Linked DNA regions of Lytechinus pictus. The main gene of each other region encodes a partner of the protein of the gene in region 2 in a complex. Links are inferred from orthologs where the notes say so. Each region holds a gene or a part of one and is shown on either strand. Other genes may lie near its edges. The genes, in order: H/ACA ribonucleoprotein complex subunit DKC1-like and H/ACA ribonucleoprotein complex subunit 2-like protein.

Region 1 (17,160 bases), on a different chromosome or scaffold from region 2:
GAAATATGTTCCAAGAAAGCTTGTTACTTGGGCTCAGACATCCAAGGAAGGACATTCAAGCCATCATTAAGACTGAAAAGTCCTTATGGTGGAAACTGCGAATGATTGGAATAAAATTCATCATTGCCCAAGTAAGAAGTACAAAAATACAAATCAGTTACCAATGAGGATATCGTTAGTTGCTTCACACAAATTTTATGCAAAAATTCTGCAAATTCCTCCAACAGAATCATCAAAGAACCATTGTGAAAAGAAATGCAATGCTTGAATATGACCATCACATGACAAATAGCGAGACAGCATCAAATACGGCCAACATTAACATGCCAGAACATACCTTTGGCCCGAGGCCCCACTTTCTGGGGTACACGTCCCTCTCCATGATGACCCTCTTCAGCTTGACCACCAGGCCATGGTCAACTGTTGCCATGGTCGCTGTGGTCATCAATGCGATGCCAAGAGCAATGGCCTCTCCCTTGGTGGTCATCAGCACCACCTCCGAGTTGATCTCGATGCCGTCCTCGAAGCGGAGGACGCCGGGAAGCATGACCTTGGCACCGTAGCAGACAGAATTCACCTGAGGAGAGAAATGGGCAGTGAAAACAAAGTATAATAATCACTATCACAATATACCAGTAAATTGCGAATTGCCTCTGAGCGGCTGAGACTTATTTGAAGAGATTTGATGCCTCCATATAGAGACCAGAAAAGATTGAAAGGACATGGTGCTTTCACCGAAGGCAAGTTTATAGCCTAACTGAAGCAATAAAAACTTATGACCTATCAGTGGTGGAGCCAGGCGTGCATGAGAGGGATGCTTTAATACCCCTTTATATTTAAAATTGCCCCATGAAAATACATACTCATCTAAGTAAATAAAAGAAAATTTGCCATCTACAATTTTCAAATATTCTCTTTCTTTACCAGGTGACATTTATGATGTGACAGCGCAAACACTTATAAATTTGAGTGCAGCGGTTGAACATAACAGTAGGCAAATAAGTGCATTTAGATTGGCAAGTACAGCGCTGGATCTAAATTTGTGTCCAGGTTGGTCATTTGGGGAAGGATCCACCTCGACTGGATTTAGAGGGTGAGAATGCCCCGAGCCCCAGTGTAAGTTTATTCCTCTATAAGTCTAAGTAAACTGTGGATACAACAAATAAACCAGGCATTGTTTTCAAAAGTATATTGGGAATTATTAATCCTCTGATGGGCTGGAAAAATAGAAATTGCCAGACAATCCGAGGATGAATAATTTCCTCTATACTTTCTCAAAGCATGGTATATTATTATTATTATGACCAACTTACTGAGCTGTCTTTGAGTACTATTCTCTTGTGACCCGTAAGCAAGGCTTCCATCGGCTTGATGACTCTCCTGAGGTAACCTTCATCTTTATGGTTGTCGTGAACCCACTGGGCATCCATGACATCGTGCATCGTCACCAACCCTTCCTGAGGATACAAAAACATTGACAAGACAAGAGATGATGATATTCCGCTTTCATAAAGTGCAACTTGGGCGATACCGCAATGCTATCAATTATGTAGGTCCGACCGTCTATATGTGGAAACGTCCTGAAGTAATCTCTCTCTGTTTATACATTATATTCTTGTTTATATGAAAGGTTGTATGTATTACTATCAAATTACTATGACTTGAGCAGTTCTCAAAGTAAATAAGAATGGACAAAATAATATGAAGATTGAAAGTCCAAAATGACAGATTTGCAGACTTGAATTCAAACTTAATGAGGATGCAGTTCAAACGAGCGGAGCACTATAAAATGATCTCAGAAGTTGCAAACAGTGTACTCCCAAGTGTTACGATGACCTAATCTATCGCTTACGATGTTCACCTCTTGGGAATGTGCCATAGATATGCAAGGACATGAATTTGACAAAAAAACAGTCATGAAAAATGAAGAATGAGAGCAGTTGTCTAATGCATGTGAATAGCTACACTTATTGCTCAATAAGCATGCCCCAGGAGTTGTGTTTCAAATTTAGAGCTCCCTATAGTAACATTGGAAATAAAAATAGCCCACTAACCTTTTCTGACTGAATACCGGATCGCACTCTCCTGAGTTCTGCCATTTGACCTCCGACCCCTAACAGGAGTCCAAGATGAACGCATAGTGTCCTGATGTAAGTTCCAGCTTCACAGCTCACCCAGAAAATACCTGTCATAAGCCAAACGATGGAAAAGTAGAGTAAGCATTCATACTATGGTAAGATTTTATATAATAATAATTGGCATTTGTATGCGCTTATCAATCTACGACTGCTCAAGGCACTTCACAATTATTATTATCTGGTCACTGGATTCATAGCATTTCAAGCAGCCTGTTAGGGCGCACATTTGCTAAACCAACCACAATGACGGTTGTTTCCTACCGGTACCCAATTAGCACTTGGGTGAGAGTGGCAAAGTGTGGATTGACACATTGCCAAAGGACAATAGGCCATGGTGGGATTCGACACACGACCCTCTAATTACAAGGCGAGAGTCAGAACCGCTACACTCGGTGCTCCTTTTCATCATTGATAACTCCAGCAATTTTTTTTTTTCACTTTGTTCACAAAGATGCTTATTGCATGTATTTTCCTACGTCAAAAAGGACATCGCAAAATCTGACAAATCTGAGTGAATTTTAGGTACAAAAATCAATCACAAGTCATACAATTTATTTAAAACGTGCAATTAATTGCCATTCTGCTCCTTAAATAAAAAGTTATCTGGTTTGGTTGTAACTGATCTATCGGGAATTTTCAATTGACATCCACACTTGATCACAAATATGTTTCTCGCAACATCCCCTCAGACCTTGTAATATTATGTTTCAGAAATTCACCATCACCAGAGGATTTTTCCTGACTAATATACTCTTTGCGTATCAGATGCAAGGATTTGTAGTAGCTATTAAAAATAATAGTCAATTGAAATCACTATATTTTTCAATGAAATGCTCTAGTATTGGAGGTGAAACTGAAGAGCATATCACTCTCGGGGATTGTTTAAGCTTTCCACCTACCTAAATGTCTTTGTGGGTCGTATTCAAGGAGTTTGCTCTCGTATATCGTTCTCACTCTAAGTTGTCGTTTGACGGCCGATATTAAAGGCGGTCTCTGGAACAGTGCTCCTGTCAGTGTCTCAATAGCCTTTACAGAAATAAAATTCAAAGATTAAATTATCAATTTGAACAAAGCATATTGTGATAATAACACACACACATTCTCAATCTACAGTTCAATTGAAATGTATAAAGAAGTTTCATAATGAGAATTAAAATATTTGATACGAAACAAAAGAGGCTAACAAAATGCTTGTATCTCTGCTGTGCAAAATCTTGGTACTTTTGAATAATGACACATTCAATGGATTGTATCCCCATAAATAAGACTAGCTCCATACTCAACTAGAACTTAAGTCCACACTTCCATCAAAAGCCAGAATTCATCTTTCAAACAATATTATTGCCAAAAATATATCTACCAAATAATTAATTTAAATTTGTTTCAAACTTAAATTTCCCAACCTTTTTATTCCTTTTTTCATATCTTAGATAGTTTTTCCATGCAAGATTACAAAAATATTTAGTTCAATTCAATAACTTGAGTAAGCGGCAACAAGCATTCCATAAAAGGATAAAGTTCACCTAGGATTGACCTTAATCAAAATTGTATGAGAATAACAACCGATATATCTCACCTTGGCTAGTTTTGACTGGTTTTCAATAGCTTCATGTAACCTGACAATGCAGACATATTCCTTGCCTATGGACAGAGAGACAAGGCATATCATGTCAATACAGGTGCTTAATGATCAGGCAGAGCTGCCAAGTTGTATTTTGCATTTTCAGTATTCTTATCCCCCAAAATCAGTATTTTGACAAAAAAATCAGTATTTTTACCGTGTGAGATAAATATTTTGTATTTTTCCCCAAAAAAGTGTATTTCATAATAAAATGCTTGGCGCACTAGCCCATCACGGCGCTAAAGCTGCATGCAAGCTAAAATGTGCACTGCTCTTGCAGATGAAAAAAAAAAAAACATTGAAACTTGTGTATATCTCACCCTGGTTTTTACAAAATGATTGAAAAAAAAAAACAAGTTACCTGAAATCACATTGATCTAATAACCATATTTGTGTACGTTTTATGAAATAGAGACATATAGAGATGATTTTTCTCAATAAATTTCGATTTTGTAAAAAAAAAAAAATTAAATACAAAAATTAAATACAAAAAACGTATTTTTTAAAGAAAGAACGTACTGCCGTATTTTGGTTGCAAAAACGTACTAAATACGGAAAAATCGTACTACTTGGCAGCTCTGATCAGGGGACCTTGTCTTACAAGATGCTTTGATTGACATGACCAATCACAAATAGGGAAATTCAGAAGCACTATCGAATTTAATGCATGTGCATCCTGACCTGATTTTTGCAGTACAGATTGCACACTGGTCCAACCAACATTGCTTCTCTTGTTTACAAAGGATCTATAGTTCAAATGCCTCATCGATATGAAGAATCATGAAATCAATGATTTTCCAGTTAAGATTGATCAGATCAATCACAACTCTTGTAAGACAGTGCCCAGAAAAAGAAAACAAACCAAAATATGACATTAACATTACATCTTTTAATACAGAATACAATAAGTACATCACATTTTTTTCAGAATTTCTAATGTTTCACCATTAGACAATTTAGGGTTGCATAAACCTTTTACTTTCTATGGATGTTAATCTTCATTATAAAAGTAATGTGTAAATCCTGAAAGCTGAAAAAAAGAACTAAAATAGAGAAAAAGCAACATTTCTGATTTTCTACATACAATTCAAGATCATCCCACATATTTACATGTATACAAGAGAATACAAAATAATCAAATTGATATATCTTTTTTCCTTTCACCAAAGATAAGACGTTTCTGATAAATTTAGACAGTTGGGACGAAAATGATAATTAATCCTACCTGCACTCTGCTGTGATTTGACCAATCGTGTGGCTCGTTCTATACAGACAATGAGGCAACCGGTGACCTTGGGGTCAAGGGTCCCACTGTGACCCGTCTTCTCGACACGGAGAATCTTCTTGATCCACGACACGACCTCATGAGATGAAGGATTGGCGGGCTTGTCAAGGTTGATAAAACCACTCCTGAAAATTTTAAATGAAATTCAATAATTCATGAAAATATGATTACCTTTCAGTCAGTATAAGTGGAAAAATGTGAATAGATAAGTCAAATATCACAATCATCCAGGGGGCTCAATACTAAAAAATAGCCCTGGACAATAGCAAAAGACCCCCAAATTCCACATTTGCTGCAATGTTAAGCTTATCCAACATTGGAGAATTGGGCAATTCATTGTGAAAAGTAACCCCCGAAAATAAGTAAGTGATTTTTTTTGCCTGTGAAATTACCTTCATTAGAACAGTGAAGGAGAGATTTTTAGGGCAGGAAAGGACACCCATAGTAATAGCCTCTGTAACCTTGGACTATGCAAGACCTGATCACGACCCATCCAGAAAAGAAGTCAGGTTTTCTCTTTTGCTTGTTGTTTGCTTTTTTTTCCCCATTCAAACAACCTGAATTAGTGTTTTTACCACATAACTCTTCTTTGCCAATTTGATGAGTAATGTTGTGTAAAAATATTTAAGAATAACTCTTTTCTTTGCTCAACTTCTACCCAACTTTTACCCCAAAGTTGCTTCTCTCACTCTCATACCCATAATCCTTTTCAGGACAAAGTGAATGAGTGATACCAAAAGCTGTACGATGTACACAATCATCCATGGAGCTAGAGACATTTTCTGAAGCGCAAACCAACCTTTTTCAATGATAGGTTACTGTAGGAAGATCTTAAAAACTCGTTAGCAAGTCATTCCTTAAAAAAGTCCAAGATAGCATACTCACGAGACATAATCCTTGATTTCCCTTTTGAGGGGTGAGCAACCATTGGGTAATGGTGTATAATGCCCCGTTCTGATGTTTAATTTATCATAGTTCTTTAGAAGCAAGGGCCAGTGGGCCGTCTCGAGTTTGGCTACGGCCGATTCCGGTTTGATCAGGAAATCTGCTTCATGCTGAATATCCTATAATAAGAGAGATGAATTTATTGACATAAGATTGATGAACAATTCATCTTCAGATGCTAAGTAATTTAAAATGATTCAAAGTTTTGTGACAACTTCAATTCTACATACAGGTGTAACTACCTGGGAAAAAAGTAAACTTCACAGTTAGTGACTCTGGCTTACTGAGTAAACTTCACAGTTTTTTACTCTGGACTACTGAGTTTGGAACAATATTTTCCATATTGACATGACTAGTGACTTCAACCTTTTTTAAACCATCAACAATAGTAATCGTATATTCAAACAAGTGGAATGCCTCTGGCCGTCTCACCTGCATCACGCGATTCAATATAGCAGCAGTGCTGATTTTGAAAACTACTATAACTCGCACAAGATGTTCAGTGATACTTGGTTACTCTTATTTCCACGTTTTATGAACTAGACCAATACACTTATAGAGATATGATGGCAATTCAACAAATACCCCCAACGTGGCCAAAGTTCTTTGACCTTACATGACCTTTGACCTTGATCATGTGACCTGAAACTCGCACAGGATGTTCAGTGATACTTGATTACTCTTATGTCCAAGTTTTATGAACTAGACCAACACACTTTCAAATTTATGGCTGTAATTCAACAAATACCCCAATTTGGCCAAAGTTCATTGACCCTAAATGACCTTTGACCTTGATCATGTGACCTGAAACTTGCACAGGATGTTCAGTAATACTTGATTACTATTATGTCCAAGTTTCATGAATCAGATCCATAAACTTTCAAAGTTATGATGGTAATTCAACAGATACCCCCAATTCGGCCAAAGTTCATTGACCCTAAATGACCTTTGACCTTGGTCATGTGACGTGAAACTCATGCAGGATGTTCAGTGATACTTGATTAACCTTATGTATAAGTTTCATGAACTAGGTCCATATATTTTCTAAGTTATGATGACATTTCAAAAACTTAACCTTAGGTTAAGATTTTGATGTTGATTCCCCCAACATGGTCTAAGTTCATTGACCCTAAATGACCTTTGACCTTGGTCATGTGACATGAAACTCAGGCAGGATGTTCAGTAATACTTGATTAACCTTATGGCCAAGTTTCATGAACTAGGTCCGTATACTTTCTAAGTTATGCTGTCATTTCAAAAACTTAACCTCAGGTTAAGATTTGGTGTTGACGCCGCCGCCGCCGTCGCCGTCAGAAAAGCGGCGCCTATAGTCTCACTCTGCTATGCAGGTGAGACAAAAAGTAAAAAATTATCAATTAAATCAAATTATATAAATTCAAGTACAGAGTATATTCAAAAAAGTAAAAATTATCAATTAAATCAAATTATATAAATTCAAGAGCAGAGTGCCAGTTTGACTGCATGTATTATAAAAAAAAAAAATTTTAATAATGATAATAATCTTGGAGGTGCACCCTACATACCACAATGTCAAAATTTCTTCTCATCAAACAATATTAATTACCATTTTCAACTCCATGAAATTTGAGTTTAAATTTATCACTTTCTCTTCATAATAGATGTTTCATCATCCACTCACTTTACCCAAGGTACATTCAGTATTGATGAATTTAGTTTCATTTTTAATTTAATAGGTAAATGTAATTGATGCAACAGTCAAAGTCTAAATTGTATTTCACTCAATTATAAAAAAAAAGTCTGAATCATATTTGTTACAATGATCAGAAGTTGTCAAATTCTTGTGGGATTTTTAGAGAAAGGAAGGGTTGGGGAAAACAGGTAGCGTAATAAAAATGTCTTACCCCAAGTGATTTGGACTCCTTGCTCTTTTTACTCTTCTTGCTTGATCCTTATTAAAGAGAAAAAGAAAATTTTTACAAAATCTGTTTAAACAATACACAAACAATCACAGCACAAATTTGGTGGATAGTTCACCTCATGATTTATGTTGACACGAAACCAGTGCGTACTTAGTTCATGAGAGACTTTCTCTAACATTCAACCTTTCCCATTTTTATTAGCAGAAGCACTAACCCTTCTCAAATGAAGATGTTGCATGGCATTAGCTTTCCCAATATATTTCTGTAGAATAAGGCCTATACCAATGCCCGAAGATCAAAAACAGCTCAAAATATTCCTGCTTTAAGTTTTATACTTCATCAAACTCCCGCGTCTCGAATGGACTTTGTTTTCTCCAATTACAATATGAACTGCAGTTAGCCATGTTAGCAATTGAAATTAATGCAAACATTAGGCTTCAATTTACAATCGCACAAGAAAGAAATTGTCAAATCTTGATGATTTTCAAACGATACTTCAGCGATCGGATCACGAGCCAAGACAATTGCAAGTGCGGAAAACGAGGCTGGATATCATTATTTATCACTATCGATACTTTGAATATTTTTTCGGCCAAATTATTTTTTTGGCCACGTGACCATGAAGTGATCTGCGCGATGAACTAATCAGCGGTCTCCGAATCGCTGCCGTGAGCTGTGCGGAGCTTGGCTGTTTGTGCCACACAGAGTCAATGGGAAATATTTCGATGTGTTTCTTTCAAAATCAGGATAAACTGTCGGTTTTTTTAAACAAGCAAAATTTCAGTGATTTTTTCTATTGAAAATGAATGTGAAAAATCATGAACTTTTCATTAAAATATAAGCATTTCTTATTCCAAACATTTTCAGTTTTTCTCAGTAATATTTCAAACAGAGATTACAGGTTTGTAAAACATACATGAACATGATTCCACTGACCAGAATATACTCTTTCACATCCAAACTTTTAACAAAATATAATCACGAACTGTCAAATTTGTGTTGAAAAAGGGGACAAAACATGGACCATTTTGGGCTCATCATTCAGCACAAACTTGGACAAATCTTACTAATTACTAGTCAGTAGAGGCGCACGGCCAATATGGGAGACTCTCTCCAATAGGGGAGACAATCTCCCACATTGGAGACTTGCTTTGCAAAAGGACAAAAGAAACAACACCAACAAAAGCATGATTTTTTCAACCCAAAATTTTGTCTCACTGAGGTCAGAAGCCCATTTGTTTTGTGTGTGATTGACAACAAAAATCCTTATCAAAACAAAAGTAGACGGTGAATTTTCAAAGTAGACGGTGAAAAGGGGTAATTTTTTATGAGGAATCTGCTTAGGCCTATCACATTTTTATTTGCCGCCAAGTTAATCCTTTTGCAGCAAATGTAAACAAAGGAAATTGGACTCCAAAACTGGAGACTGTCTCTGAAATCTGGAAATTGGATACCCAAATTCTTTACAAAAGTCTCTGATATTGGAGATAATCTCCCACATTGGAGACAGTCTCCAAATAATATTGGCCGTGCACCTCTACACAGCGAACAATTGTGTACAACGGATAGCGGAGCGTGAACGTAGCGGTCGTGTACATTTTTGCTTATTACATGACGTCATCCAGCCACTGCCGAGAGCCAATTTATGAATGAAAATATAGTAAGCATGCGCAGTGCAAGCCTTCCATTTCCCCACACAGTATTCCACCAAAACAAGTGTGCAATTCTCTATCACCTCCTAGCAAAATCGGCCTAGAATTTCACTTTCCTATATTTTATATGAATTATGAAAGGTATTTTCGGAGGATCTATTTTCTCACCCATACCACACAGGTAAGTGAATTTCGATTACTTCTTGCTTTTCCGTCAAAATCTTACGAATTAGCGTCTGTATGTCATTGTGTTCATTGGAATTTGTAGAGTCTATCGCAACGTACTCAAAGTCAATTGGCTTCCGGGTTTCGGAGCGTCGCGTGAATATGCATGAAATTGCAGAGTTTCGATAATTTTCGATCGATACCGGAGTGATCCGATCACGGACCAAGTCCATTTTCCGTGTACACAACGTGACCGGATATCGTTATCGCTATCGATACTTCGGCACACAGTCCGAAGGAATTATTTTTGGGACCAAGTGGTCATGACGTGGTCTGCGCGATTGACCAATCAGCGGTCTTCGAATCGCTGTGCGGAGACGATCTATCCGTTGTACACAGTCTATGGACAATTGTTCGTTGTGCTCTACTGCTAAAAAGTGCTAGTGACTATTTTTTAATTGGTAAAAAGAAACCTAAATTGGCAAAAAAATGACAAAATTAACTTAAAATAGTTAAATGGAGGTGTGGGGCTGGCAAGAAATTCAGAAAATTAATGTGCTTTCAGCATGTTCAGTATTGTATCACCATGCAATTGTGCCCGCAATTGTTAATCAACAGCATTATACCAAACAGTCCACCAGTTTATGCAGTCCCCGCCCGCTCCGCTGGCCCATCCAAATTGAGCCATGCAGCGCAGCGGGTACTCACGAAGCCACGTGCGCGTGGTCGACCGTTTTTCACGTCCACGTTGATCACCAAAACCCACTCGCAACAATTTATACAACATACTTCAACAACAGAACTCATACACAATTCATGATAATGTTGAATCACATCAAACAACTATAGTAATTCGTATATCATACAATGAATAACAATTTAAGGCATTTTTAATTGAATATTCACCTGCACTCCCATCCATGTTTACCCTCTAGTGCACTTCAACGGAGAGGGCGTGATCATCGAATTGAAGCTGCGGGCTAGAAATATCGGTGATGAAAGAATACATGGTAGTTTCTATTTTATTTTATTTCCTTTTCTTTTCCTTGTTTTTTTTTGGGGGGTAATTTGATAGCAGATTCTTTTATGAATGATATACTTTAATTCCTCGTGAAAATTATTACCTTATTTCTCTAAATCTATATTCATAATCTTCTATGATTTGTGTAATGTATTATCACTCAACCTTTTTACGGTATATAAATTGCCAATTCGTCTATTGCAACACAATCGTCCACTCATCACATGGTCTAACTTCATTTAGTCTACTCTAATGCCATTCTGTCCATCAACATTTCTCCTATAACAACCATTCGGTCCAAAAAACATTTGGTCCAATCATCACTAGATCGTCTGACCATTTCGTTTAACCATTTGGTCTAAAATCCATTTAATTTTCTTTCATTTCGTGCAATTAACATCGTTATATATTCCAATTAGACAAAATGGTATATGGACTATTATTTTGGCTATTGGACCCAGTGGCGGACCGTGACCCGGAGGAGACAAAGCATTGGAGGGGCACAACATTGTTCACAAACAATACAGTGCCCCTCCAATGCTTAGTCTCCTCCGGGTCACGGTCCACTACTGATTGGACCAATTGGTTATTAGACGAAATGGTGAGTGAACAAAATGGCAATTAGACCAATGCAGATAGTGGACGAACTGATGGTAGACCAAATGATAGCTAGTAGACGAGTTGGTATATTTATGGACGATTTGGCATTAGACCAAGTGATAATACACCTTTTTTACCCCCTTCCCCCCACAACTCCTCACGGCATGCATACCGTTACGCAGTGGAGTAACTACGCGGGGGCACGTGCACCCCCCCCCCCCCCAAGCTGGCCAAAAAAGGAGAAAAGGAGGGAGAAAGAAAGAGAAACGTAGTGGGGGAGAAGAAATTATTGTATATTATACTATATTATATTATATTATATTATATTATATTATATTATATTATATTATATTATATTATATTATATTATATTATATTATATTATATTATATTATATTATATTATATTATATTATATTATATTATAGTATAGTATAGTATAGTATAGTATAGTATAGTATAGTATACAAATATACTTTGCCTTGAGAGTTTCTGGTTAAAACTATGGGCAAGAGGTGACTCCAGAATAGTACTATTCACTGAGGGGCGCAGCCCCGAAGTGAATGGTACTATTGGAGGCACCGAGGCCCATAGTTTTAACCAGAAACTCGAAATTATGGCAGAGTATATTTGTTTTATATTTTGGATTAAAAATTTTAAACAAAAGGAAAAAACAGAATAATGGCTTACCTTTTATCCTCTCTTGTCACTCTGATGGTCTTGTGCTCTTTTCTTAAATAATATCAAATTTTAATGAAATCCAAGTTTTAATAGTCAATGAAAATGTCTGAAAAAGTCAAAGCATAAACTGTAGTCTAAACATTAAAAAACGTAGTCGCCACGTCGCGAGAGTCGCCCATGGTAAGCACTCGAGCTCTCGTATACCCCGCTGAATGTTGGTGATTTTGATATCACGCGCATCAGGCGTATGGCGCCGTGACGTCATTTCCCCAAATAGTTTTACTATTTGGGGAAATTACGTCACAAAAATGACGTAATTTTCCCAAATAGTATGCCTAGCTGCCAACATTCCAAAATAGTTGAAAATACACATAATCACGTGAAGCTCTTTGAGCCAATGACCAGAGGATAAATTTTTGATCCAAAATATAATATAGTATATTATTGTATTGTATTGTATTGTATTGTATTATATTATATTATATTATATTATATTATATTATATTATATTATATTATATTATATTATATTATATTATATTATATTATATTATATTATATTATATTATATTATATTATATTCTATTCTATTCTATTCTATTCTATTCTATTCTATTCTATTATATTATATTATATTATAGTATATCATATTATATTGTATTATATTATATCATTATCATATCATATCATATTGTATTATATTATATTTATTTATATATATTATATTACTTTTTTTTCATCCTTTATGAAACATAATTATTAGAGCCTGGCCTTCCTGGTGCTCGCATTATCTGTTTAATGAGATACATAGTCCTGTTCTACTAAAACATTTCGTTTTCAAGTCAATTAATATACACCAAATATTTCCCGGCACTTACAGTTATTATTGTTTTATGTATAATCATGGGCGGAAATCTGTCCCGAAAGGTAGGGGGGACCACAGGGGCGGATCCAGCCTTCGCCAATAGGGGGGGGGGTTCAGCCATATTTTAATCCCCGATTGGCCGCTCGATGATGATTTTTGTTTGTTTCATTAAAGGGGTAGTCTTCGTGGTCACTTTTTAGCTTTATTCTTATAAATCAACATAAATATATAATATCATAATCAATATTTATATAATGCGAGCGCGAAGCGCGAGCAAATTTTTTTTTGGTTTTGTTTAGGGGGGGGGGGGTTTTATGTATTTTTTCCTAAAATTTTGAACATTCTGGGCAATGTTTGCTATCCTGAAAAAGATGTGTATGTAAATGAATAATTACTACGAACGTGAAGCGCTAGCAGAAATGAACTGATGGATAAGGTACCTGTTACAGACTGCTTGTAGTTAGCCATGAAGACGTTACATATTTCAACAATTAAATAATGCGAGTGCGAAGCGCGAGTTGAAATTTTTTGACATTTTTACCTAAGGAATGAAAATTCTAAGCACTTTTTGTAATTCAAACAGATAGGCATATAATTAAACAATTGATGCGAGCGCGAAGCGCGAGCGGAAAAAAAAATCGAGATTTAGACCTAAAAACGACACACTCTATTCATGTTTTGTAAATCATGAAAAGAATGAGTAATAGGGGATCTTCCTACATTAATAATGCGAGCACAAAGCGCGAGCAGAGTTTTTGATATTGTGATCTGAAACTGGATAACGATTTAAATATAGAACAAGTTGAGTATCTGAATAAACATGCGCGGGCGTGTTTCATATTCAGACCTAGAATCTAGGCATTCTACACATCTTTTATTATGAAAAATCAGAGCGAGCGCGAAGCGCGAGCTTAAAATATATGATATTCCAATCTGAAAAAAAAAGTTAATTTCAGCTATTTATTTCAAGCACTTTGTAGGAAAATCGTGAGGTGGATATGGATCGTACTTAATAAAGAGCTGATATTTTTCATTATTATTTGAGATTTGACATAGGACTGGGACATCCTTAGGACATGTCATATGAAAATGATGACTATCTTACTATCCCTCTTGCTAAGCGCGAGATGAAACAAAAGGGACAATTTAATCATTAAATTAATATCTTATTTATTAATGCCTAATGAGGGGGGGGGGAATCTGATGATATTATGGCCTGAAAACTGGACATTTCAAGCACTTTTGTAATTCTGAATAGAATGCATCAGTTAAAAAAAAAATTTTACCATTAATGCGAGCGCAAAATAATAGGTACTTAATAAATCGAAATTTGCGAGCGCTCAGCACGAGCAGAAAATTTCAATATTCAGACCATAAAGCTATCATTTTAACAGAGCACCTTTTAAAAATCAGTTTGTTAATCACACAAAATAATGAAAGTTCGATTTCCGAGGTGAAATGTGTAATGTATATTGACTTCCAAACTTGATATTTAAGATCCATGTTGAACAATCACCTAACAGGCAATGCGAGCGCGAAGCGCGACCGAAAATTTTATATAGTGACATGAAAGATTCTTTTTATTTTCCAAGTCTTCCCCTCATCTTATTTTATTCACTCTGGAAAATTTGACAAGCAAAAAAAAAGTTTTCACCCAAAATGTAAGGTCATTTAGTTCAAAAGACATGTATTATTTCGAATGTGAATGATGCATTTTTTTCCATCATAAAAGACCAAAAATAGTAGGGGGGACATTTGATATTGTGTCCCCCCTACTATTTTTGGTAGGGGGGACACGTCCCCCCTGTCCCCCCTGGGATTTCCGCCCATGTGTATAATAGTGACATATCATGACTATACTTGAAGTGATTCCCCCTTTTAAGGTCTATATACACATAAAAAAACATGCACAGTCTAGGCTTACGTTCGCATTAGTGGATTGGTGAGATATTCTGCTCTTCATGAATTCCTAACTGAAAACAGTCCTTAAAATGTCCCTTTTTCTGTTCTATTATCAAAAATTTTCAGCTCGCGCTTCGCGCTCGCATCATTGAAATATGTATGATCTTAGTGAATTTTAAGCCCAAAATGTCCCTCTTAAATGTTGCATATTCGTTCATACCCAAGGATGATAAAAATATAAAATCATTACCTATAACCTTTTGTGACATGGTGGTAAGGTGTTTCTGTTTATAGGGCAATTAACTTTACCTGTATCCCTACATTGGGTAAAAGTTTCAGTTTCCACATACCTGTACGCTCTATATTTTCAATAACATTGATCCACCGATATTATTCAGGACTTCAGAAAGCCTGTTTGTGAAATACGGCACAAAATAATAACAGTAGCGTAAGTATAAATATTTGAGTGGCCAGATCGATATGATGTATCAGATAAAATTATAACAAATTGCGAGCAAGCGAAGCAAGCTAGCAAAAATTTAGACATTGTTTCCCAAATAGCCGATTTTCATTGTGATATATATATATATTGTCAAAATAGGCCTACATGTCGACCTATACATGTAGGGCCTAATCTATTAAGCCATTAGTTTCACCCTTCTCTCTTTCCCCGGTCTCTTTCCTTTTCTCTTCCTTTTTTCTTGGTCGTGGAAAATTGGGGGCAAGCGCCCCAAGCCCCCCATCTGTACGCCACAGATTTCATATCAGTTTTCTGAATATATCATAGAGATATATATCTCTATGGAATATATACATATGTCAGGGGCGGATCCAGCCTTCGCCAATAGGGGGGCGGAATTTTTTTTCAGCCACATTTTCCCCGATCTGCCGCTCGAAGTTAATTTTTGTTTGTTTCTTTGACGAGTAGTCCTAATGGTCACTTCTAAGCTTTATATATGTATATACATTCATATAATATCATAAGCCTTATTTAAAAAGTGCGAGCGCGAAGCGCGAGCAGAAATTTTTAATATATGCGTTTTGATCTGATAAAAAAAGGATCTGTTAACGGCAGCTTCTTAGCCACGAAGACGTTACATATTTCAACTATCAAATAATGCGAGCGTGAAGCGCGAGCTGAAAATTTTGACATTTTTACCTGAAGAATGAAAAACGATAAGTATATAACTAAATAATTGATGCGAGCACAAAGCACGAGCTGAAAAAATCTAGATTAAACCTAAAAATGGGACACTCGATTCATATTTTGTAAATCATGAAAAGGATGAGTAATTGGAAATCTTCCTATATTAATAATGCGAGCGCAAAGCGCGAACATAATTTTTTTTTTTTTTTTTTAATATACGTTTTGATCTGATCAAAAAAAGGATCTGTTAACGGCTGCTTTATAGCCATGAAGATGTTACATATTTTTAGAGCGATCTGAAAATTTTGACATATCTACCTGAAAAATTGAAATTCTAAGCACTTTTTGTAATCGTGAAAAGGATAAGTATATAACTAAACAATTGATGCGAGCGCAAAGCGCGAGCGGAAAAATTCTGGACACTCTATTCATGTTTTGTAAATCATGAAAAGGATGAGTAGGCCTAATTGGAAAGTTTCCTACATTAATAATGCGAGCGCAAAGCGCGAGCATGCAGACAATTTTTGATACTGTGATCTGAAACTGGATAATGATTTAAATAGAGAACTAGCTGCGTTTCTGAAGAAACGTGAAACGCGTGTTTCAGATTTTGACCTAGAATTTGGGTATTCTAAATACCTTTCTTATTATGAAAATCAATAAAGTGAGCGCAAAGCGCGAGCTAAAAATATATGATATTCCGATCTGAAAAAGGGTCAATTTAAACTCTGTATTTCAAGCACTTTGTAGGGAAATTGTGAGGTACCGTGGATATGGATCACAGTTTAAAAAGAGCTGATATGTTTCATTATTTTTACTTTGAGTTTTGACATGGGACCGGACCGGGACTAGCATTTTTACAGAGCACAAAATCTGTTAATAGTATGGCCTGAAAACTGGACATTAATTTAAAGCACTTTTGTAATTATGAATAAGATGCATTAGTTAATATCTTTCAATAATCAATGCGAGTGGAAATCGGTAGCCGAAATTTATGATAAACGGGGATTTTAAGTAGTTTGTTTTAGAATTAATATTGAGATATACATAACTATATAACCAATCAAAATGAGCGTGCAGCGCGAGCTGATACGTTTTGACAATCTGACTGAGCTGAATAGGGATATTTTGATAACTTTATGGAATACAGAAAAAATCATAGGTAACTGACAAATAAAATTTTGCGAGCGCAGCGCAAGCAGAAAATGTTAATATTCAGATAAAACAGACATTTTTACA
Region 2 (16,169 bases):
AATAACATTTTTTTTACCTTTTATTCTTGATTAGAAGTCCATTGCGGGGGAGGATTCTATGTGAGAAAACTAATCCATGATATTGGAAAGAGTAAGTATACTAGTGTATTAACTTTTATCATTATAACGTTATGCTAAAAAGTGAGTGAACCCCCACCACATAATACACTCCTTCATGCTGACCCCAGAGTAACCGACCTTATTGAATGTAGTATTCTATCACCTGACTTCACAATTAAATATAAAAAACATGGCAGAGCTTGAACACTTAAAATCTCGTCATTTTCTGGTAGGGTCAGTAATTTTTGAGCACCATTGTATATTATCTTGTATACATTTTTTTGCATCATCCTCTTTTCAATCCAGTTATCTGTTTATTTATGTCATACTGTGTTATATTTGAAAGAAGAAAACGCCCCCAAAAAGGATGAAGTTGAATTTTAAGTTTCATTGAACCATAGAGTCCTAATTCTCTACTTTTATGAAAGAATAATAATAAGGAAAGAAACTATACATAGAAACTGCACATAGTTTTGCAGGGGCCACTGAATTACTCTGAAAGGAGGGGAGAGGGGGGGGGGGATTCTGGACAATGAAAAAGCACAATGAAATGGTTATTTCTTATGTTTTTGTCCATGTTGCCCCTGTTGTATCAATTGCCTCCAAGACATGGGCCTTTTTTTTTTTTAAAGTAGTAGAATAACGGTAGTACAAGGCGAGGTGGAATGTTAACCATAAATCGAGAATCCAACATTTTCTTTTTCTTCAGGTCTCGGAACCTGTGCATTCATGACGGGGTTGTGTCGGACGAACCAAGGTTGCTTTCAGCTAGACCAGCATGCATTGCCAGAAGAGAAATGGACATTGGAGGATATAGTAAAAGCCCTTGATGAATTTCATACCATGGATCCGGGTGTTAGGTGACCAAGCCCAAACAATGTATGGACTCTAAACAGGACTGTAACACTTGCAGTTTGCCAACCACTTATGAGAGCAGACTGAACGAGAGACGTCTTCTGGTAATAAATTTACACCTTTCGTGCAATCTTTGAATGGTCCAGGAGAGCGTTTCATGATAGGACATGTCGGACGTTTTATATGCCAAGCTGAAGTGTTCTTGTCAAGCTCAACTTTTTAGAAAAAAACCAAAACATTTGTAATGTTATGTATATGAAGGAAAAGGGACTTCCTCCTGTGGGCATCGACTCACTTATTTGCATTTCCGAAACAATGTAGATACACCTGTACTTTGAAAATAATTTTTAAAAGGATTTTGTAATTTTAAACTTTTTTTTTCAATTTTGATTTATTTCATTGACTTCATTGTTCTGTATTTTTCATTTATTTTGCTACTACTATTGAAAAATAGAATTATAACAGTTTCCTTCACTGATTATTTCTCCTTTTTTATCCCTCATTTACTCGCAAATTCCTCGTCTCTTAATCTATTCCTCACTTTCTCTATTTTGTGTATGTTATCCAGGTCCCCTCCTTCGTAACTGCCGATCACTCTCTTTCCCAGATTCTACCTCCCTTTGTTACTCTTTCTCACTTGAAATCCATCTCTTTCCCTTTCTTTTATACTTCATTCTTATTATTCCATTGAATTATGTCACAGAATTTAGGGTATTGTAATCAAAAGATAAAAATCAAACAAGCATAACGCAGAAAATTTGAAAAAAATCAGATGTAAAATAAGAAAGTTACGACAATTTAAAGTTTCGCTTATTTTTCACAAAACAATTATATGCACAACTCAGTGACATGCAAATGATGTCCCTCACTCACTTATCTTCTTTTTATTGTTTGAATTATATAATATTTCAATTTTTACAGATCTGACAATAAGGACCAACTTGACTAAACCATAAAATGTTAAAACAATGGTAATTCGACATGTTCAGGGAGGAATTAAACTTTTTTCCACAGTATAACAGGGAGAAATTGGAATATTTCAAATAATAAAATACAAAAGAGATAGTGATGTCATCGGTTCCCTCATTTGCATACCGACCAGGATGTGAATATAACTGTTTTGTGAAATTAAGAGAAAAATAAAAATGTCATAACTTTCTTATTTTACATCCGATTTTGATAAAATTGTCAGTGTTATTCTTGTTCGATTTTTCTCTTTTTATTCAAATCAACTTTTTGTTGGTGTGGACTTGTCCTTTAATACAGCTATTTTTGGCACATTTGTGTGCTTCAATACATGCAATGGTGCTGAATAAAGCTTGCCATTCCTTTACAAAGGGAGTTTACTGGTACCCAAAATATTTGTCACTGTATTTCATTTTAACATGGAAATTTGCTTTTCTTGAACCTTCACTTGTTTTCAGTCATAGAGGGCACTCCATTGCGCTATATGTAATTTATGCATGGCTTTATAAATACATACCATAAAATATGGCAGGTTGATGACCAGGGACCCCGTTTCATAAAGAGTTCAACTGTTGTATCTTTGCCACTATGGCAACTACCATGGTAACCTTGATTTTGATTGGCTGCTGAGCCATGTTACCATGGTCGTTGTCATAATGGCAAAGTTACAACAGTTGCTAGTCCTTTATGAATCAGGCCCCTGGACTAGCTCACCTTTTCTTGCCATTTTGATATTGCATATCAAAATAAGCAGCGACACAGACACTTACAGGTTCTAAAAATCATAATGCCTCAACCAAATCCAAGTATATTGTACATCTCACCTGAAAATAATACTTCACACCCAACAGAGCTCTTTATTAATCAACAAAATGGTTAAAACCTGCTTGATGGAAAATAATCAACGCTAAATGCCGAAGGGATTCTCATCCATGTGTATTACAATTATTATTGATGGATAGATTTGAATTTTCGGAATTATGAAGAACAGTTTATATACCCCTCTACTGACATAATTCAAATAAAAAATATAAATACAAGTAATACTACTGATTCTGCTGTAATTTCTTTACAATAGATAAAAATAAAAAAACAGAGACCAGTCAGGCTTTTATTTACATGTACATATGTTACATCTTTTATTAGAACAAAAATATTGATAAGAAGTAAATGTCATACAAAAGGTGTTTCCATATACATAATACACCCTATAAAGTAAAATTCAAGACCAGAAAATGGTTAAGTGATCATATACAGTACAATAATTTCACTATGGCTTTCCTTGTCCCATTGTTTTGTCTATGGAGAATGGAAGAAGTAATAAAGACGACGCTGAGTAGGATCTTGGATTTCCTGCGTAAAGACGCTTTTTAATGTGGTTCAGAATTGTGAACCTGTTGACTACTAAATTCTTTTATGCCCATAGACAATCTACACAGACGAACTGGTTTCAGTAGTCAACATGTTGAAGGCACCACAGACTTACAACAAAAAAATTTACTCTGAAGCCCCAGTGACACCAGCGAAACTAATCCGGACCGACCTAAGCTTATATACATCATTTCCCATGACATATCATTGGTCATTTAGGGATCGGTTTCGTTTGTGTGACTGTGGCATATGAAAGCATCAGCTGTTCTGCAAAATACGAGGACAGGTAACTCCCTAAGTCGACCTTCCATAAGATGAATATTTGCTCAATTTGAAGTAACTTTTAGACCTGGGGCCCGTAACACACGATAAGCAATGATCGTACAACATTTATCTACGATTGATTCCATTGACTATAATGTACAATCAATCGTGAAAATCAAGCGTACGATTAATTGCTAAGCTTTGTGTGACGGGACCCAGATTATTCAATACATGTGTATAATACCTCTTCGAAGTCAAATTTCTCCCATGTCGAACAGATTTCTGTGGTTGCAAATGATTTAGGCAGAGTAAGTTGTTAAGTCATTTTAACACCTGGGCACCGTTGCAGAAAAGTTACCATTATTGTAACTTTGCCAACCAATTGTAACTTGCATTGAATCCTTGATTTTGATTGGCTCTTGATCAGCGTTATTACCATGGTAGTTACCATCGGATGGTAAAGTTATCAAAGTAGTAACTTTTATGTGACGGGGGCGTGAATGGAACATGAATGATGGAGTCCAGCTTAATGACCATGAAAATATAAATAAGTCCTTTCCATTTTGCTACTTTTATGAATTCTCTCAAATGATCAGACTTTGCTTCAATGTTATCCTATCATGATTCCACAAATTTTATCTCAATGAGATCAGCTTGGAATGAGTCCATGATTTCTTGATAGTTCTATCTGTCGAGTCCTATATTATGACCAGAATGTCTTCTCTTCTCAGATTGGAGGGGGTAGAGCCTTCACTAGATTATGGCATTCCTTGTAGCTGTCTTCATAGTCTGCATGCTTCTTCACTAGGATGCAGCATGTCGCCCTCTTTGCCCCGCTTGAAGCTCCCAAGTCCTAAAGAATGAAACAATTTATCGACCGTGAGAATCAACAAGTGAAAGTTGGACATGAAAAGAAACTTGTGATCAATTTTTCCAATGCACATCAAATTTTTCCAGAGATGCCACTTTGAATTCATAAAAAAAAGTCTGAATATCCTCACGAATGATCATACACACACAATAATGTGTTTTCTATGGTTGAAAATAAGTTGATTAAGTCTGAAAAGCGGCATTCTTGATTATTTTTCATCAATAGCTGGTCTGCTTTTTTCATGATAAATTATGGAGTCAGCTCTTGTATGTAATCAATTGTAAAGTTAGAACTGATATTCACAATTGCAAATTCCTTTTATTTCTACACATGAATTTGATTGCAAGTGTGTGTGTGTGTGTAAGAAGTTTCTTAATCAAAATCATATGTGCAAGTTTTCTTTCATACAGAATGGAGTATTCTCATTGATGAACTATCCCACACTATGTGTAATTTTGCCCTGTAAAGTAAACCATGTTCTAGGGTCCACTCAAAATGTGGACTCATCGTGACACGGATATCACAACAAGGTAGAACAATGTCAAAACTTCTTCTAGAGTCCATAAAGAATTTGAACTCACTATTATGCTCATTCAATATTCTAAACTTGTTTTCTCGTAATATAAACAGTAACAGATCTATACTTACAGATTTTGAAGGTACATAGGCATAGGGCATATCCAGGTCTTCGCAGACACCGGGCAAATGACACATAACTTCAATGGGTGTTACATCTCCAGCAAATACCACGAAACTGAGAGAAAAAGGGAGGGAAGTAGAGTACAGGGAAAATGGAGAGGGAGAGAGATAGAGAAGGTGGCAAGAAAGAGAGAGCAGAAGACAGCATTAGGAGAGAGGGTGAAAGGGGTGGGGGTAGTGTATTATTTATTCATTTTCAACACGAAAGAGGATATGAAAATCCATATTTTGTTCAAAATAGACATGAAATACTCCGAAAATTCGCTTTGCCCAATTGATCGTGGGCCAGGCAGCCGCTGTGCAACGCGAGATCGACGAGGCGCTATCCCTTTATTCGTTGAACGCCAATCAGGGTAGCAGCAACTCCCATCTTTTAATATATTTTGGTCTGACGTGGCCAGGGTTTGAACCCCCGACCTCCCGGTTGTGAGACGGACACTCTGCCAACTGAGCCAACACACCGGTCTTGAGTTTGAAAATATATCCTAAATAGTAATTGATTCAAATGGACTTCTCAATATATTTCCATATCACCAACCAAAATAGGTTAACATGAAACTTTACATCATCAAATATGTTGGACAATTGCCTTGAATTAAAGGCTCAAAACCTTTAAGTACTAGCATATTCTACACCACATTGGTGGGATTGTTTTCAAGTCAATTTTAATCCCACTTTCAATTCAATTCAAAATGATTTGGCCAAGTCTATTTATTCTAAATTTATAAAGTTCAACTGATCAATGCAGTCCCAATATACTTGACTTTGATAGAAGTACCTGTACAATATGTTTCCTTTTTAAAGTACTTTAATACATGTTGAGGTAAAAGTTATCTATTAATACTTCATTCCATCATAATTCTAATTGACATTTGATTCACATAAAAAAGCAGCATCAATAATGCATAAATTATAGAAAACAGAAGTTTACAAATAACAGAATACATATAACATAATACAATCAGTCCAGTTATAAGGGAAAAGCTTCATTTAAGTCAAAGAAATATGATGGGACCTAACTGAAAGCAAGTAATCTTAAAAGCAAGCTTGTAAAACTGCAGCCTGGCCCCTGTGAGACAAGTTGCGAGTAATTACTTGTGGAAGACGGATAAACACCAACCACATTTGGGACGAAATGCATTCCCTAAAGAATTACCAAACAATGTTTTTAAGCAGACAACCCCATCCCATGTCCACTGTCGCAAAAAGAAAATGGGTCCAATCTCAAGAAATGAGGATTGGCACTTTAATATTTGCCATTCTGTTCACCAGTAAATTGAATCAAGGACAATTCAATAAAAAAAATACATACCCTTTCTCTCCCTTGCGTAGAAACTTCTGAACTTCTTTTACCCCACGTCTGACCATCTTGACTTTACTAGCTGGGAAGAAAAACCATAAATATATTAAAATGAAACCAAAGAAAAATCTGGGGCCGTATTCCGAAAATTGTTTAAGAGAAATATTCTTGTATCTCTGGAGTTACAGTATAATAAAATCCGTATTCTGAAAATTCTTGTATCTTTTCTTGTAACTTTCACTGAGCGCGTATGTCAGAGCTATAATGATGCGTAATGAGGCGCCTAAATATCTTTGTGCGCAAGATAACATTTTGAGATATACCGTATGTAAAAGGTATTCTGAAAATTCTCTTATCTTTGCGTTCTGATGACTTCCTTGCAAAAATACAAGAAAATTTACAAGAGGTACGGGGCTATTGTAACTTAATGTTGAATGCGATACTTCTCAGTCAACAATAATAATTTCTTGCTGCATCCCACAAGAACATCATGTTTTACAAAAGGAGACATTCCAAAGAAGTTATAACTACGGATTGTTAGACTCTTCAGCAATTGAAAATTGGCATTCGAGATGATGGTCCTTTTCAAAGAAAATATGACTCTGGGAAAAGCCACATGTATTTTAGCGCAGTAGTGTACAAGCATAAGCATCGGTGGCGCAAAGGAAATTACGCGGCGTGTCAACAATGCACTTAACAATTTTTTAAGAAGGACGCTTCTATTGGTTGACCGAAACAGATCTGTATAAACAGTATTAACTGGGAAAATCCCAATTTTCTGACCAGCGCCTCTACTGATAAAAAGTTTAATTATTGGTTGATAAAATATTTGGCGTGTCAGAGATAAAATAGGGGACGTCCTTACAGAGTCAGAGATAAGACAATTTTCAGAATACCGATTTAAGAGAATTTTAGCAAGCTGTTTTATCTTGCTGAATTACAAGAAAGGTTAAGACAATTTTCAGAATACCACCCCTGGTCTCTGCAATACTTTTGAATGTATTTGTTTCGATGTAAAAAGTATGGCGATTAAATTTTTAACTCAATGACAATGTGGTTTAGAGTGATAATTTTATTCTTCTCATTCCAAGTGGCATACCGCATTCATCTCATTCCAACTCTCATACCGCCATCTACAAACCCCAGGAGGGCCACTTCCATTGACGAGTGGATACCATGCGCGACCATGGGGTCTCGAAAAAGCACCCTAAACTAAGTAAACACGGATTTTCCATATTCTGAAAATGCACCCCTTAACAATAACAAGTAATTGCGTGTGATGAAACCCTACCCTTAACATTAAGTATTGGAAACAAAACGATACTCTTGGCAAGTATTCTCTGAATTGAACCTCTGAAGTACAGACCTTCTGTACCAAAGATAAGAAACTCAACGAGGGGCACATAAGCATATTGCTTTATGTCTCAACATCCAAGTAAATAAGTAACCCCTAAACAAGTACAGCAATATTTTATTTTTAATTATGTCATTGACGTCGGTTTTACCTTCTACAATCGTTGGGTTTATTAGTACAGCCTCACCTCCCACACCTCGCGCAAATCGTACTCTAAACACGTAAAGTGACGTAGTGTTGACTCTTTGGGCAAAAAGTACATCCTTTAATTTTATAAAACAATTTAGTCTTTATTTTTATACCATCGCAAATTTGACCCTAAATACGTAAAGTGAAGTCAGTAGAGGCGCACGGCCAATATGGGAGACTCTCTCCAATAGGGGAGACAATCTCCCACATTGGAGACTTGCTTTGCAAAAGGACAAAAGAAACAACACCAACAAAAGTATGATTTTTTCCACCCAAAATTTTGTCTCACTGAGGTCAGAAGCCCGTTTGTCTGTTTGTGTTGTGTGTGATTGACAACAAAATTCCTTATCAAAATAAAAGTAGACGGTGAATTTTTAAAGTAGACGGTGAAAAGGGGTAATTTTTCATGAGGAATCTGCTTATCACATTTTAATTTGCCGCCAAGGTAATCCTTTTGCAGCAAATGTAAACAAAGGAAATTGGACTCCAAAACTGGAGACTGTCTCTGAAATTGGATACCCAAATTCTTTACAAAAGTCTCTGATATTGGAGATAATCTCCCACATTGGAGACAGTCTCCAATATTGGCCGTGCGCCTCTACTGGAAGTAGTTAGTAGGTAGCAAAAATAGATAGGCCTACCCTTTTTCTGTTATTTTAGTGTTTTTGACACCCTTATATTACCATTTAGTTTACGTTACGTAACGTACCCTATCTTGAAAAAGACATCCTTTTCACGTGTTTTTTTGGTTGCACATGGTCATGGTATCCACTCGTCAATGTAAGTGGGCTACATTACAAACATAAAATAATTTTATAAATATGAACACAAACGTAAATTCGAATGAATGGGACTGTATTTCCAATTTCACCTTTTTTGATGACTTTGTACAATTTTTTCGTGAGTTTCCTTGAAGCCAAAGGATTTGCTATGGGTGAGACACGAGCAACAAGTTCATCATATGTGAGTTCTTGTGTTTCAGCTTCATCATCAGCGCGATCAATCCCATTCTTTACTGCTGCTGGTGACTTCATTTTTAGGCTTATGATGTTGATTGGTCCACGTGTTTTGTACCGCAACGTAACAGCAATACGATTCGTAAAAATACGTACAAGCTATGCCGCCGATGGAGGCGGCGTGGCGCTTTCAGAGATTCCGGTGACATTTACTGTGTTGTAAGGTCGCATATTAATTTGCAACGTCGTTCAAGAATTGCATTAACTATTCTTTTGCACCCCGAAGCTATTTTCTTTCTTTAAAATAATATATTTATAAGTAGAAAAATACTTATTTGTATAAAACCCTTAGATATAAAAGCGAAATTAATAATCAAATTGGCAACTCTTAATTACCAAGCATGGCGGATGAACAGAAAGAAACAGACGCGCCTGGGAGCGATGGTTTTTCAGCTCAGAATCAGCAAAATGACGACTCAAGCATGGGGAATGACGGAGGAGAAAATGCAGAAACATCTCCAGGATCATATAGATCGAGGTTCGTGTATGGTGTAACTTTAATAATGTTTTTTTTCCCTAAATAATTAGCGGTAAATAGACACCCCCCCGAAAAAAATGTGTGTGTGGCATGGCAAGTTCTGCCTTCAATTTCCGTGGCCTACACACGTCACACGCGATCGACGACGCAATTCGCGGGGCAACTCCAAGTTCCGCAAAGAAGTCGGATGTGTAAATCGCGTCACGACGCGACATAGCAATAGCATAGCCATAGCCATAGGGCGGCGTTAGGGCCTAACGTTAGGCCCTAGCCGCCTAGGTTAGGCCCTAGCCGCCTAGAATGACTATGGCTATGCAGCTAAGCCAATTTATGGAAAGCATTAATGCTGTATGCCTGCAGTGTAGTGTACTGTAGTGTAAGTCAGACTAGAGCTGTGAATTGTGATCAGAATGGATGATGATAGGCGATGCACGCCGCCAATAAACATGATATGATAAATAAAATTGATGTCGGCAAAAAATATCAGAATTTCAAGTTGTTGATTTAATGTCGATTATCTCAAAGTTTTGGGGATATTTTAAATTTTTTGTTGGGACATGTTTTAGTGTGTTTTGACGTGCTAGCGAATAGGGAAAGAACTCTGAGTCTTGTTTTCCGAAAAAGAAATGTATCTGCAGAAGACCGAAGAATCATTTTCCTAGAAAGTCGCAAAGGCAAAAAGTCCCAATGTCATTATGGTCACATATCAATAAACCAGCGCACGCACGACACTAGCACTGGTCCGACGGTGCCAGACCGGTAAAAATTGCTGTTGCTGGGGCCAGTAACTTTTCAGAAATGGCAAGATTTACTGGTCCGAAATGATCAGTAAAAATTATACCCTACTGATACAAATTATATTTTCTTCTCTTTTAGAAATTATGGCTCTGGTGTCTCACTAAAAATGTTCTGCAAAATTGAGAAATGGCTCTCATGAATTATGTGTTTGTGTACTGTTTTTTTTTTGGGGGGGGGGGGGATAACAATAAGCAATAAAAGACGGCAAAATAAACTAAAGCCTTTTTTATGTTTTTCTTTATTTTTGGAGACCAGTAAATTTTAGGTTCGGACCAGTATTAAAAAATGGTAGAACTGATTATCTACTGGTCCGACATGATCAGGTTGGGCCAGTAGCATAATAGGGTTAGTGTGGAGCCCTGAATAAACCGTCGATTGATTTTAGGTAGTAACCGCTAGAATAACTTTCATAAACCTGCCGTGGCCGTTATGAACTCTAGTCAGCCAGTTCTCCAAAAAGAATTATAGGTCTAAATGATGCAGTATGTAGACAGCAGTGGAAAGGAAAATAAAATAGAATAGAAGTTGTAAATATCTCAGATTACTTACGGATGATCAGGAACATTTTAAAATTGTTAACAAGTAAAAACAAATTTTAAATACCTTTCGTTATGAACTCCCGTCCTCCAAAACAAATTATAAAATATAAATGACGCATTATTCAGACAACCGCAGAAAGAAAAATAAAACAGAATAGAACTTTGAAGTCATAAATATCTCAGATTACTAATGGACAATCAGGAACATCTTAAAATTGTTAACAAGTAAAAACATTTTATATACCTTCTGTTATGAACTCCCTTCCTCCAAAAAGAATTATAAATGACGGCGTCAAATTAGACTCTTTCTGTGTGTGCACATGTGTCGCATTGTCGATGTACAGAGCCTTAGTACAGACAATAGACAGTGTCAGCGGGGCAGGCCCAAGAGTCCGAGGGTCCACGAGGCCGATTACTTTTCCCATGAGACCGAAGGTCCATGAAGCCGATTTTTCTTCAAGTGTATTTTCTTTCATGAGGATTTTTTCTATCAGTGGAAAAGTTTCTGCTTAGCATTTTCGCCATTGAAAACTGAATATAATGTTATAATATGATGCTTTCGTAAATCGGGACAACAGGATTAATGCTTGAGTATCATCTCACCCATCATTAAGAAATGTAGCTGTTGAATCCTTTTTTTCAGCTGTTTATTCTTTAGAAAAATTTGAAACTTTCATTTTAAACATTTTCTTATTGTTATTATTTCTCGGTTATGTTTTTTGCTTGGAAATGTAGATTTTATCCCATTTCAAAACAGCAAGGTTAAGACAAACATAAATTGACAAAACCAAATATACCAATTTCAAAGAACAACAGGAACTTACTAGATCTATGAAAATGACATTTGAACTAATTTGAACTGTCAAATTCTGGACTTAGATTATAATTTAAAGATTAGAATGTAAATTTTTTGATACACTCCGAATGTTTCAATCTGAATTTGTCATTAAAAACTAATGAAACTTTAACTTAAAAGTCTTCATAGCATGCCTTGAACTTGGGGTCTTGAACTTACACTTTTGCCTATATAAGTTGCGACTTCGTTGATTAATATTGATGAAGACAAACATTCTGATTAACGAAAATATATGATTAGAGAAAAGTCGGCCTTGTGGACGCTCGTCCTCGTGAACCCTCGGCATCGTGGGAATACCTGTGTCAGCATGGTCAGTGTGTGTGTCTGCGCTGGTTTTGTACAAAGTCACTGCCATGCCATGATATGGGAGTGGAAAGATGTAACCAGCGCTAATGAAATAACGGCAGTGAATTGCGTGGTGACTATTTCACAATAAAAGCCAAAAGAATAATTTCATAGGCCCGAATTCACAAAGGTGGTTTTGAAAACCCACGGTTGAATCCATGGTTTATGCAGATTTTATGCTATTTTATGCATGAGTCCACTGTTTGAAGAGTGGACTCATTAATTCAAAACAGTGGACTCATGAATAAAATAGCGTGGATAACCACGACAACAGGCGTCAAATTGGCGCACTGACAAAAGCGCGCATCAGCATTGGACATTTTTTAATATACATGTACGCGGTAAAATAAGCGTAATTTATACAGGAAATCTGCATAAACCATGGACTCAACCGTGGGTTTTCAAAACCACCTTTGTGAATTCGGGCCTTCTAGTCTTTAGTTTAACTGTCCTTGTCATATGCCTGTGGCTGTAGATGCATTGGTCCATCAATTGATAAGGATCATCCCAGAGAACAAGGATATCCTCTTAAAGTTCCCAAGACAAATCATGACTTGAATTCTTGATGGAGATTGTCCTTGTTTAATGGGAACATTTTTTTTTCACTCCCTTCTGCGGGATATAAGCGGTAATTACGGGAATCAAGGGTGCTAAAAATAGATTCTGTGACCTCAATCCCCCCTCCTCACCCCTGCTCACCAAATATTTTGTGATGTTATGACAGCTATGAAATTCAAGATTGTAAGATTTGCAAATGTTTCTCATTTTCATTTATTTTATTTTAATTGTCATTCTGAATTTTAATCTTTAAAAATTTCATTAAGGGTGCTGTAAGCCTGTAAGTAACACAAGCTTGGCATTTGGTTGTGGGGGCAGATAATGCACTTGATTACATGTACATGTACATTGGCTGATTCATATGTCCATTTTACATGTAGCACACAAAACATTTGTTCAATTGATGCTAAACTTTTTTTGTGTGTGTTTCTGCCAAGTCAGTGAATGAAAATACATGTAGTTGGGTTTTGTTATTGTTACATACATCCCTTTCCTGTGTATACTGTAGTACAAAACCTGTAAGCATTGATTAAAGATACATGTATATCCACAGAAAAGCAACAAATCATCTTGAATACTGTAGGCTTACTTCATTGTATAGTGCCATTATGTCAGCCATGGAGTCAAAGGAACTGAATAAGAGTCAGCGCAACTTCTGAGATCTTCTTGTTCTCATTCGTCAGGACTGGTTATGGCCAATATAAACAAGACTCCTAGTACAATAGGTAATCATTACATGTGCCTGTTACAAAGTGCTCAACCTTGATTAAAAGCTGAGAGAATGATTAACGATGAGAGACGTGAGTGACCAATTCCAACCATCATTTTCTTGCTCTGCAGAGAAGACGGGAGTGAGATGGAAGCTTCAATAACTATTGACGATGAACTACCACCAACCTTTGTCCGGCTGGCACCAATTATAACCACAAGTGAAGCCATAGCGACGGGCGAGTCAACATCCAGTACCCCATCAGTCGAGGGAATAGACCAAGCAGCATCGCAGAACGAAGGCACTCCTGGGTCAGGGGATACAGAATACAAGTTTGTAGATGGAAAATATGTTCAGTACACACCTACAGGTGCGGAGGGTGATGGAAGCCCACAGTTAATGGATTTCAATGGCAAGTCGTCCAGTGTGGCCTCCGTTGATGGTGGCCAAGGATTCATATGTAAAGTGTGCGGTGCCTGGTATAAGCTTCGTCAATCACTGAACTCGCACATACAGGACCAACATCAAGGCAAGCGATTCAAGTGCAGCAAGTGTCCCTACAGCACCAATAGGCGCCATGACCTCTACCGTCACGATGGGCAGGTGCACAGGGGTTCCGCCAAGCAAACAGTCCCTCTGGTCAGTCCATTAGCACCAAAGTCCAAAAGCAACACGGTTGCAGCAGCCCTGAAAAAGCGCGAGGAAAAGAAATTAAAGAAGGCAACCGCTGTTGGCACCACCAGCTTTTCCGCAACCAACCTGTCTGCGACCAACTTGACCCCTGCAGGCTTGAGCACCTCCAACTTAACCACAGTGAACTTAAGCTCTCCTGTCATTAACATAGAAAACAAGTCCGTTCGACAGGTCCTCAACCAAGGAGACGTTGCCAATACCCAGCAGTTGGTTGTTGTGAGTGACGGGATGCAGGGAGCTGTTTATCCTGGGTCATCTTCGCCTCTGCAGGATCAGGTTATGAAGTCGGGATGGGTGGAAGAGAATTCAAGCAGCAGCAAGCCGCACAGGCAAACAGAATCCTTTGAGCACCAGCTCCCAAGCGGTGCCATCTTCAGACGCATCACAGAAATCACATTTTTCCCTGATGGACGCATTCAAGAGACTCGTACAGAAGAATATGAAATGCCATGATTTCTAGAATTGAAAATATAACTTGGTTTGCCAATTCATTAGTCAAATTGTATTTATGTCAGTCTATGTAAAAGCATGCACATGAAAAAATACCATGTAAGGAATACATTACAAGTGATTTTATTTATGAGGTCAATATGTCCAAAGTAGATGACAAAAGTTTTAAGTTGGAGACTATTGAAATACATGTAAAAAACATGGGAAGGTTTTATGGTAGAAATAATTTGCATTTATTTATAAAGATAAAATCATGGATTGGTAATTGTGTATTTTTCTATTTTTGTGATGAATTTGTATCAAGAGGCAGTACAGCGTGTTTCAGAATAAAAAAAATATACATGATTTCGGTTAAGAGGTCATTGAATTTGATTTGAAGGAGGTCTACTGGATGACAATATATACATACATGTATGTACTTGCATGAGACAAATACTCTACATGTATTACATGTAATTTGTTTTTGTTTTCAATGCCATTTGGCTGTACAGCAGCCCTCAAAATGGGATTTTTTTCAGGAGCAAAGTCATTTCAATCAGGGGCAAATTTAGAGGGGTGTATGTAACCCTGAAAGAAGTTTATTGTAAAAATAGCAGAAGAAATAATAAAAAAATATTGTTGAAAGTTTTAGAAAAATCCACCAAAGAGTAAAAAAGTTATCAGCATTTTAATTATTTGATTTGTGACGTCAAATGCAAGCAACTTTCCTACATCATATGGTACATTGTAACAATCAATGAAACATCATTTTCTCAGAATATTGAAAATGGTTTTTGCTCTCCATGTACATGTACAATTAATTTCACACCCGTTCCTAAAAAGTAAATAAAAATATAAGTCATCACGAACTTTAAAAAATTAAAAATTTAGGTATTTTATATATTACATAAGATATGGGGCAGCTGCTTGTTTATGATGTCACAAATCCAAAACTAATAAAATACTAATGATTTTCTTAATCTTAAATGGATTTTCCTTAAACCTTCACCAATATCTTTCATTATTCTGCTGTTTTTACAACAAACTTTGCTTCAGGGTGAACTTCCCCTTTAAAGTATTTACAATTGTGAGAAAAAGGACAAATACTAAAAAGGGGGCACATTTTAGTTGCATTAACTTTGATGAAAAGGAAGAGGGCATGGAGGCCATGGCTACTGGTTGTTTCAAGGCATACGTTCAGTTTGTGGCATGTCTGTTCATCAGATTGGATAAATGTTTAATCTGCAAAAAAGATTATGTGTTCTGAATTAAAAAAGTATTTGGGCTTATTGGGGTTATTTCATGAAAATAGTTCTTACAAAAAGTAAAGAACTGTTTGTGAAGGATCAAATTCAAATTTATGTGTGAATAACAGTGAACTGATATGGATTTTTGCAGGTCACAAGGTCAAAGGTCGTAGACTTCATTTTCATGGCTCGTCACAATTACTTACCGATCCAATAAATACCATGTAATTCAGAATTAAACTTGGTTTATTTATACATGGAAATGATGATCTGATGAGATATTAGGAAAGTTTTTTTTTTTTTCAAATAGAATTTAAGAATTATTCAATATTTTTTCAGATTTGGCAATGGACAAGCAATACATTTTGCCTATATACACAGTCGAGAATCCATCTACAATTCTACATGTACCGATAGTCTAATAATGATTGAAGGGGCATCTAATTTATGTTTCCATTGTTCAATTGGCAAAAGGAGATATGAAGCACAGTAACACCTTGTGAAGTGTATTTTCCTACACTACAGGTATATGTATATCTGGGGGCCGTTTCATAAAGCTGTTCGTAAGTTAA

What was found.
Region 1: H/ACA ribonucleoprotein complex subunit 2-like protein (region 2) and H/ACA ribonucleoprotein complex subunit DKC1-like share a complex: the UniProt entries of both Drosophila melanogaster proteins name them as parts of the box H/ACA small nucleolar ribonucleoprotein (H/ACA snoRNP) complex. The link is inferred for Lytechinus pictus from reciprocal best matches to the Drosophila melanogaster genes NHP2 and Nop60B.

Annotation. Positions count from the first base shown.
Region 1 is NC_087260.1:13,286,056-13,303,215, forward strand, and holds the start of H/ACA ribonucleoprotein complex subunit DKC1-like, read right to left. Parts: upstream 12,226-17,160; 5' UTR 12,018-12,225; intron 10,688-12,017; 5' UTR 10,630-10,687; coding exon 10,614-10,629; intron 7,920-10,613; coding exon 7,873-7,919; intron 6,109-7,872; coding exon 5,930-6,108; intron 5,170-5,929; coding exon 4,985-5,169; intron 3,780-4,984; coding exon 3,715-3,779; intron 3,165-3,714; coding exon 3,038-3,164; intron 2,186-3,037; coding exon 2,055-2,185; intron 1,458-2,054; coding exon 1,314-1,457; intron 578-1,313; coding exon 338-577; intron 130-337; exon of another isoform or gene 30-129; intron 1-29. UniProt on the Drosophila melanogaster protein: Catalytic subunit of the box H/ACA small nucleolar ribonucleoprotein (H/ACA snoRNP) complex, which catalyzes pseudouridylation of rRNA. This involves the isomerization of uridine such that the ribose is subsequently attached to C5, instead of the normal N1.
Region 2 is NC_087256.1:25,663,658-25,679,826, forward strand, and holds H/ACA ribonucleoprotein complex subunit 2-like protein, read right to left. Parts: upstream 9,098-16,169; 5' UTR 8,964-9,097; coding exon 8,801-8,963; intron 6,469-8,800; coding exon 6,399-6,468; intron 5,142-6,398; coding exon 5,036-5,141; intron 4,370-5,035; coding exon 4,244-4,369; 3' UTR 1,777-4,243; downstream 1-1,776. Other genes in the region: pseudouridylate synthase TRUB1-like, read left to right, coding at 35-91, 770-924; uncharacterized protein LOC129272326, read left to right, coding at 9,287-9,423, 13,360-14,374. UniProt on the Drosophila melanogaster protein: Component of the box H/ACA small nucleolar ribonucleoprotein (H/ACA snoRNP) complex, which catalyzes pseudouridylation of rRNA. This involves the isomerization of uridine such that the ribose is subsequently attached to C5, instead of the normal N1.